2 linked regions of the Danio rerio genome follow. The protein of the gene in region 1 interacts with the protein of each later gene in a biochemical or structural test. Links are inferred from orthologs where the notes say so. Each region holds a gene or a part of one and is shown in the gene's direction. Other genes may lie near its edges.

The links.
Region 2: the proteins of ccnd1 (region 1) and cdk6 form a complex in vitro, tested with the Homo sapiens proteins (3 studies listed by BioGRID and IntAct, with this or other methods). The link is inferred for Danio rerio from reciprocal best matches to the Homo sapiens genes CCND1 and CDK6.

The regions. Positions count from the first base shown.
Region 1 is NC_133182.1:69,632,278-69,636,845, reverse strand, and holds the start of ccnd1 (G1/S-specific cyclin-D1), read left to right. Parts: upstream 1-1,886; 5' UTR 1,887-2,165; coding exon 2,166-2,363; intron 2,364-3,760; coding exon 3,761-3,976; intron 3,977-4,347; coding exon 4,348-4,507; intron 4,508-4,568. UniProt on the Homo sapiens protein: Regulatory component of the cyclin D1-CDK4 (DC) complex that phosphorylates and inhibits members of the retinoblastoma (RB) protein family including RB1 and regulates the cell-cycle during G(1)/S transition.
Region 2 is NC_133194.1:42,889,052-42,893,519, forward strand, and holds part of cdk6 (cyclin-dependent kinase 6), read left to right. Parts: intron 1-2,862; coding exon 2,863-2,998; intron 2,999-4,468. UniProt on the Homo sapiens protein: Serine/threonine-protein kinase involved in the control of the cell cycle and differentiation; promotes G1/S transition. Phosphorylates pRB/RB1 and NPM1.

The DNA.
Region 1 (4,568 bases):
TGGACATAATGAAACGTGAAAGAAAACGCATAAAAAGTCTTTGTCTTTTATGCAAAGAAAAAGAAAGTTCATAAAAGAATTATTTTCTTTCAAATGCCATTTCTTATAGACGTTTAAAATAATGGTAAGTAATACAGTGTCATATAATAGCCTGATATATTATTAAAGTAATCTAATAAAGTAATTTTTGATCTTATAATGAACAGCCTAAACTACTGTTTGCTATTAAATTAATTAATATATTTGCCTAATATTTAAAGAGCATTGTTGATATGTCTATATGTAAAATGACGTGTGGGGGAAAAAAACTTAAATCAGTGGAACATTTAAAGTTTTTCTTGTATTCTAGTTTCTCTCTGCAACTCGTTTTGGTCTTTGTCTTTTCTGTAAAAAAAAAAAAAAAATACAAAATTCCATTATATGCATGTTCTTATAGAGGTTTAAAGTAATAGTAAATAATACAGTAGCCTAATAACAGTTGCTATTATAGCCTAAGATAATATTATACTATGCTAATAAAATAACTTTTGATCTTAGAATGAACGTACTAGCCTGTTTGCTACTAAATATATAATAAATAAATAAATATATATATATATATATATATATATATATATATATACACAGAGTGTTGTTGATATGCTTATGTAAATGACTTGTGAGAACACTTAAATCCATGTAACATTTAAAGTTGTTCCTTTACTCTAGCTTATTTCTGCAACTCTAAAGTTTTTTGTCTTTGTCTTTTCTGTAAAAATAAAAGTTATATTTTTTCTTTAATATGCATGTTCTCAAAAAGGTTTAAAGTAATAGAACTTAATACAGTAACTTAGCTGCTATTATAGCATAATAAGCTTATAATACATTTATTAACATTTAAAGTTGTTACTTTATTGTAGCTTCTTTCTGCAGCTGAAGTTTTGGGCACAGGCAAATTACTTGTTTTACGGTATTGAAGTGGAATGTGCGGAATTTGTAAAGCTTCAATTCATCCTGAAGCGACAGCAGTGAGGTCTTTTAAAGTGAGAGCGCCCCTGTTTGATCAAACTCTATCAAACAATTTGTGTTGTTAAAGCTGCAGATGTCGTGTTTAAACTTTACCGGTGAGCTAATGTTTTCTTTTAACGCGGTTTGTTTCCGAGTCTAAATATTATAACTACTTTATTGTTTGTATTATTTTATTATTTGAAATATTTAATGTTTTGGTGTACAAAGAGAAAAAAAAAAGTTAAATGAGATTTAAGGAAATGTATTATTAAATACGACAAGAAGAATGCTTCACATGATTAATTTTAACAATTTATTTTGTTTATTTAACATTTCCACGAGGAGTTTTTTTTTAGATAAAAGCTCGTGCCGCAGTTCTGCCTGGCAACTGACGTGCTCCTCCATTGGTTTAGGCTAATTTGTGCTTCCTTCTTTAAGTCTAACCCCCCAAAAAGAAACAAAAAAATAAAACAAGCCTCCACCCAAGACCACACATTTGTTTCATATATAGCCTACTGAAACCACATTCAAGTTTGTGCAGAAACTTAGCTATATGAAACTTCATAAAGTAATCCAAAATCTTTTAAAAACATTTTAAAAGCCTGATTTTAAAAGCAGACAAGTGACTGTGACCAAATTTATTTTACAAATAAAACTTTTGATATATGCTTGTACAATTACAGTGACAAAAGTTTTTCAATGCGACAGTGTGGGCACCTTGATTTAGGCTATTATACTGCCCCCTACCAATACTAACCCAATACACATCTTCACCCCAGTCTTTTCCACCCCCGATACCCACGACACTAGCAGCCTGCCCCCTGCGCCCCCACCCCGGCCCAGCCTACCCCCACCACCGCTTCTCCTTGGTCACTCGTCACCCGGCGTAGGACCTCCTATTTCCATAGGGCTAAAGAAAGGAGCCAAAACTGAGAAGCAGATAGTTCTTTAGATTGATCCTCCGCCCTGAGCAGACAGCCTCTCGCTCTCTCACAGGCTCGCTGCTGCTGCTTTGATCTTCCCTTAACAACAGTCACGTCATAGGGGAGTTTTGTCAAGCGGAGAGCTGCAGCGAGACTTTTAGAGGGTTCAGCAGAGGCAGCAAAAAGCATCCACGGGACCAGTGTCCGACTCGAGCTCCAGCTTTCTTACTTTTCTCACTGCTAAACACTGAAGATATGGAGCACCAGTTGTTTTGCTGCGAAGTGGATACCATAAGAAGAGCTTACCAAGACAGCAACCTGTTGAATGACCGAGTTTTACAGACAATGCTTAAAGCTGAGGAAAACTATCTCCCATCACCAAATTATTTCAAGTGTGTTCAGAAAGAAATTGTGCCTAAAATGAGGAAAATCGTCGCGACGTGGATGCTCGAGGTTTGTTTTGGATAATATATTTATATATCTCTTTTTTTTTGCATTTGCTGCTACACACGTTGCCTCACGATGATTCTACTCTTGCTCTTTGGACTCCAAGAAGTATTTATTAAATGAAAAAAAATGCTTTAGTGTGACTTGGGTTCATCGGCATTGCTTATCCATCCCAGAAATATCACACAGAAACACGCTGTCCGATTATTGTTGCTTATTTTTTACGTAAAAATGTTTTATTACGAAATATTAATCCGACACGAGACGTTTTCCGTGCTTTCCGCTTTAGCCTTTTTATTTAGGGTTGTTATTTTTTCATGCATGCGTTTCGTTTCTTATAAATATTTTAAAATATAGATACATTTATTTATTTTTATTTTATTTTAATACCAATGTACACGTATGCATTCTCACTCGTGCCAGTAGCCTATTATACGCCATCTTTGTTGTCGTTTGCTTAAGTTTTTTATTTCTCTAAATTCTAAAATGGAAACATAATTGACATCACCTGCATAAAAGCGCTCACAAGTTGTCTTTTAAATCACAGGTATAACATAAATCAAATTTTTGCAAGAAAACGTAATATTTGTGTCTTAAAAGTTTTGTTTCAGTTTGTCATACCTCCTGCACGACGGTCTAAAAATATTGTATTATTTCATTTCTGAATTCAACATCGTGTTATAACCTATCGGATTATGTTAACCCTCTAATAATGTGGATTTACAGATGTTTAACAGTAGATTTAATGCTAAGGAATAATTTATATTAATTTATGAAACACCCGCTTCACCTAAATGTCGCATGCTTCCCTTTGTATGATGGGGCTTTGGATTTCAGTTCATTTCACGTAGTTTTTGTCATTGCAATCGAAATATTTTTGCATAATCTAATAAAGCATGAGTTACAGTACATTTACATGTGTTTAAAGTCAAGCAAAACAATTTTCGTATATTTTTAAATATTTTTTGAAAAGATGACGAACTAGAAAATTGTTTCCTGAACCGAGCTCAGACGCCACCTTTTTGCCTCGAAAGCAACGACCATTAGCATCAGAAGCAAATTGTAACATTTATACTTTGTGCAACACTTAGGATTAAACTTAAATTACTGATTAAATACTATTTTTAAGCATTTCCACGTGTCTTTTTTTTCTAATTTAACCCTTTCCACTGCACGTGTACGAATCAGCAGATGCTAAACACGTGGGATAACTCGATAAGATCAAAGCATACTGTAGCTTAAAAAATATTTGCACTTCGTTTATTTAATAAATTTCTATGAATAGTTTTTATTTTTATTTTTTATTTTTTTTTATTTATATATTTCTACACGTTTAATTAAAAGAATTAGCTGCTGTTGTGACTTAATATTTATTTATCGTATGCACTTTCTTTTCTTTAAAGGTCTGTGAAGAGCAGAAATGTGAAGAGGAAGTTTTTCCTTTGGCTATGAACTACCTGGACAGGTTTTTATCTGTGGAGCCCACCAAAAAAACCAGGTTGCAGCTTTTAGGAGCAACTTGTATGTTTCTGGCTTCAAAAATGAAAGAGACTGTGCCACTTACAGCAGAGAAGTTGTGCATATACACGGACAACTCTGTCCGTCCCGGCGAATTATTGGTAAATGTTTAATACTCTTTAATTTAGCAGCTTGATATTGTTTTCTTTTTTTTTTTTTTTTTGTGCTGAATTAAAGTAAAATAATGCAATTGAAGGTCATTTTGCTCAAAGACCTATACGTTAAGGTATTGCATGAAACAACGAGCTAAATGAGTTTATCAAAGTGTTAAGGCACCCACAGATATCTGTAAATAACAGTACATGTTACAAATTGTTGGTGCTTTTGATGTGTGCGTTAATTGAACGTAGGCCTTGCGTTATTGTGCAATTAATCGACATCTCCATCTAGCGTTCAAAGAGTGTAAAATCTGAAATGGAAAAATCGTCTGGGGCTTTATGTAAACTTGGACCATTTTATATCTCCCTCGCAGCAAATGGAACTGCTGGCGCTAAATAAACTGAAGTGGGATCTGGCCTCAGTGACACCACATGATTTCATTGAACACTTCCTTGCCAAACTGCCTATACATCAGAGCTCCAAGCAGATACTGCGCAAACACGCCCAGACCTTTGTGGCCCTCTGTGCGACAGGTATGTTTGTACTTTTGAGCTCACTTTTATTTTGTTTCGGTAACTTTGCAAAAGTTTTGAG
Region 2 (4,468 bases), on another chromosome or scaffold:
GGATAGCGTAGTATGCATCAGATGCACACTTCAGATTCTCGCCGGAAGTAGTTTGTTGTCTAGGTACTTCTCGTATACTGTTTTTCGAATTCTATGAATTCAGACATACTGCCTGGCTCACATACTGTTTTTAGCGTAATATATAGTATGGAAGTATCAGTTTCGGACACAGTCAAAATATTTACTCAGCTGTTATTTTATCACCCTCTCTAGTCTATATTCTTTCTTGCATTTGCAACTTTATAACTTAATGCTAATTGCAGCAAAGTCTGTCCTTTAAAACAGGGGTTCCTAAACTGTTCAGCCCGCGACCCCCAAAGTGACAATGCCAGTGACTCGCGACCCCCATTCTCTGAAGTGGTTATAAATACAGAAACCTTGCATGCAATGGCGCACACACACACACCAAAAGACCCAAGTCTATTCTTCGCTTATTTTTTTTTAATGTATGTGAGTTCTGTAAATGGGCCAGAAAGTTTAACCTGTTATAAAATCAATCTGCTGCATCTGACGCTATTGCTGTGTCTTTAATGTAATTTAATTACCCCAGGGGTCGCAATCCAATAGAACTAGTTACTAAAAGCTACCTTTTTTTTCTCTTCAGTAGGTTATAGATACAATATGGTCATTCTTATAGTTTAATATTCACCAGGTGACCCCCCCCCACCCCCACCCCCTCCTTCAATTTCCAGTGATTCCTCTGTGGGTCCCAACCCCCACTTTGAGAACCACTGTTTTAAAAAAGCATAAAAAAATTGCTGCAACAATTTTAAAGAGCTGAAATTAATGAAGCTCAAAGCGTGTTTTGTCTTAACACATGCGCAGGGACGAAAACATTTTCAGTCATTTCAAAGTGGACGAACAACTTTTTAGGAAACAATTGAGAACGATTGTGTGGACGTGGAATGTTTTTGACACAACACTTTTAATTGCACATTATATTGTAAAATCTGCCTAAACTAAGCCCCTGATATACTCATTTATACTCGCTCTTTGTTTAGGGGTAAAAATGCGTTTGAAATGCGTATGCCGCAGTATACTGCAAGTGACATTTGTATAAATAGGTAAAATATGTGTTGTCAATAACAAATTAAACAAACAATATGAATGGCAGCAGTGAGAAAACAGCCGTTAAGAAAGCATCTGATTATCGAATTTGATGTTGTCACATTTGTTATATGTAATTCTTTATAGAATTGACTACTCCGATACAAGCAGCTTTTCAGCTTAAAAAAATCAGTTATAGTGGTCCCTCGCTAAAATGCGGTTCACCTTTTGTGGATTTTTTTTGTGCATTTTGATATGCTTTTTTCTACATCACATTGTGTTCTGCGTCCTGACTGGCATAAATCTTCGATCGCTAGCAGTGTGACACAGAAGTGTTGTACTTTGTTTGCAAGTTTTCTCCCCACAATGTTGACAAAACATTCTGCAATGTCAAAGGCACCCAAAGGCAGAGGAACGCTAAGGGAAGGTAGAAGTTACGCGGCTGTAGGGCGCCATTACGATCAACTTGATATTTGGTTTCATTTTACAATACTGGATTTATTTTTCTTCAAAAGTTTGAACTTTGAGAGTGAGAGTTTAAATGAGAGATAAGTGTGGAAATCCTAATGCCTGTCTGAGAAAAGTGTATAAAGTGTGTAGTGAGGGGTTTTACAGCCTTAAAACATCTAAAATAATTGTAAAAATAATAAAGCTGACTACTTCGGCGATTTCTCCAACTGCGAGATATTTTTAGAATGCATCTGCCAGGAATAAGGAGGGACAACTCTACTTAAAAGTTAGTAACATCGTATGTTTTTATAATAATGCGCATATTTACCTTATTTAAGTTAACTGGTTTATACACTTTTTAAAGTAAAGTCAACTAATCTCTTTCTACGATGTGGAATTAAGCATAAAAATAGTAACAGTAAACCTTAAATAATCAGCTTTTACCAGTAGAAGTCTAAAGGTGTTTACTTGTAAGAGCATTGCTCTGTAATGGCTTGTTTCCACGGACTGGTACGGTTCGGGTCGGTACAGGTCACCTTTATCAGGCTTGCGTTTCCATTACCAAGGGTGGGTGTGGGGTATGACTGAGAGTTTCAGTTGACATAATTTTCGCTTGAGAAAATGTCTACAGTAAAGCCATACGGGTTATTCACATATCATATGAGAAGCGCTTCTCACAAAACAGATGCTTTATACACACAAATACTTGTGTATAAATGTTTATTACTAATTTTTCTATGAACAGGATTTGATTATTACTGCAGATCAATGACAGTGCGAAATAGCCTACTGTAACGTCTGCAATTTTATAAAATAAATAAATAAATGCAACATATATGAACACATACAGACCCTTACAATCTCTGATATGTTACCAACTACAGAAGAAGTACATACAGCAGACATTTAGTCCTTAATTAGGTTAAAAACAACACAAAATATAGCCTACGGTCAATGAAAACCTCTCATCTGTGTCCGTAATCTTTAGCAGCACATAAAGCCTCCTGTTAGAGAGTAATTCCATCATTCTGAGTTCATATTAGCTTCACCTTTTGGTACCCTTTCTCTGTGTTTGGTACCCTTTTGAAAGGGTGCCAAAAAAGTGGTACGGTTAGGTACACCTTTGACAGTGGAAGCGGCCATAAAAGTGTATCGAACCGTACCGTATCACTCAGTGGAAACGGGCCATAAAGCTAGTTCAAACTCCAACCTAACTTTGTTTAAAAAGTGATCTTTAGTTTTTTCAGAAGTCTTTTGGGCCCTTAAATCACACATGAACTTGTCAAAACTCATGTTAAATACTTAACAGACGTGACTCACACAGCTTTTAATGAAAGTGCTCTTGATTGTCTTTCCCTCATCCAGGTTGTTTGACGTATGCACAGTTTCCAGGACTGACCGGGAAACCAAACTAACTTTGGTCTTCGAACATGTGGACCAGGATCTAACTACATATTTGGAGAAAGCACCTGATCCGGGAGTGCCACCTGAAACCATAAAGGTACCATCACACCAGCATATTCATCTCAGCACTTAAAATAAAGCTGTAAAGCAATGACTTTAGCCCACAGCATTTATAGTTCAAGGTCAATGTGAAATCAAATTAAGCACTGTTTACTTTTTAAAATGTATATTTACTATAAATCCTATTTATTATTATTTTATTATATATTTTATAAATATTCGGTCCTCCCATCAACAAATCCATTCTTACATTAAACATACCCATATAGACATGAGTTAAATAATGTGTTTGGCATGCAATACATACCACACAGTCCTGTTTATATAGAAATGAATGTCAGCAGCATTTTAGCTGAATGTGCAGTCATCCCATCTAATCTCTGCTGGAGGAGCTCAGGTAACACCTTCTGTAACAGTGCTCACTATCAGGTGAAGAAAAGCTGAATTGTCACATTTTCCTGATGGTTTGGAAGAGGCGACCAAATGAGCCGTTTCAAAGCTGCTGTGCTCTTTATAAAAGTGACAGTGTAAAATGCCACACGTTCGCAAATAACAAGCTATTTTGCGCAGATATTTACTTTCTACATCTACTTTCTATAAGTTTATATTTGGGCATTCCCTTTTAACATCAAATTACAGAATTAATATAAAATTAAAAGAACTTTTATTTTGAAAATAGGCTAATTTGACAAGTCTCCTAGAGTTAGGCTGTTGAGTTTTACTATTTTTGAATTCATTCAGCCAATCTCCGCGTCTGGCTGGAACACTTCTAGCTTAGCTTAGCTTAGCATAGATCATTGAATCAAACCCTTAGCATTAAAAATGCTCAAAAATGAGAGAGGGATCTGGATGCAGACCTGGTGCAGTGCAATCTGAGACTGCATCCAATGCTTTTTAATGGGCTCACCTAACCCCACCTCTAACCCTACCCGTCACAGTGACGCCAATGCGCTCCATTTGAGTGCATTGTGTCTGACATTGCATCGCTGTTTGATGCAATCTTAGCTTGCATCATAAAGGCTGCATCCAGATACTATTGAAAAATAAGCAAAGAGTTTCAGTAATTTTCTTATTCAATGCTTGTCTCTTCTGTATTTACATCGTGTACTAAGGCTTACGATTTCATATTGACGGAAGTTCGCTGATTTTCAAGAAAATTCATAAATTCATAGGAAAATTATCAAAACTCTTTGGTAATTTTTTAGCAAAATGCTAATGGTTTAATCTGATTCAGTGAACTATCCTAGCAGGCACAAGATGTCAACATGACGTCAGATTGGCGTCGTACCCCAATGTCGTGGGGTCGTTGTCTTTTATTTGGATATGAAAATCAGGTTAATGTCAGAACCGAACAACAGACCGACCTTAATGTCCAACGTCCAACCTAAAATCCACTAAATATCGACATCTAATGATGTTACAGCGTGACAATATGTAGACGTTACCACAATAATGTATATCAGACCTTGTATTTTGGTTGCCATACCTGACGAATAAATGTCAGTAT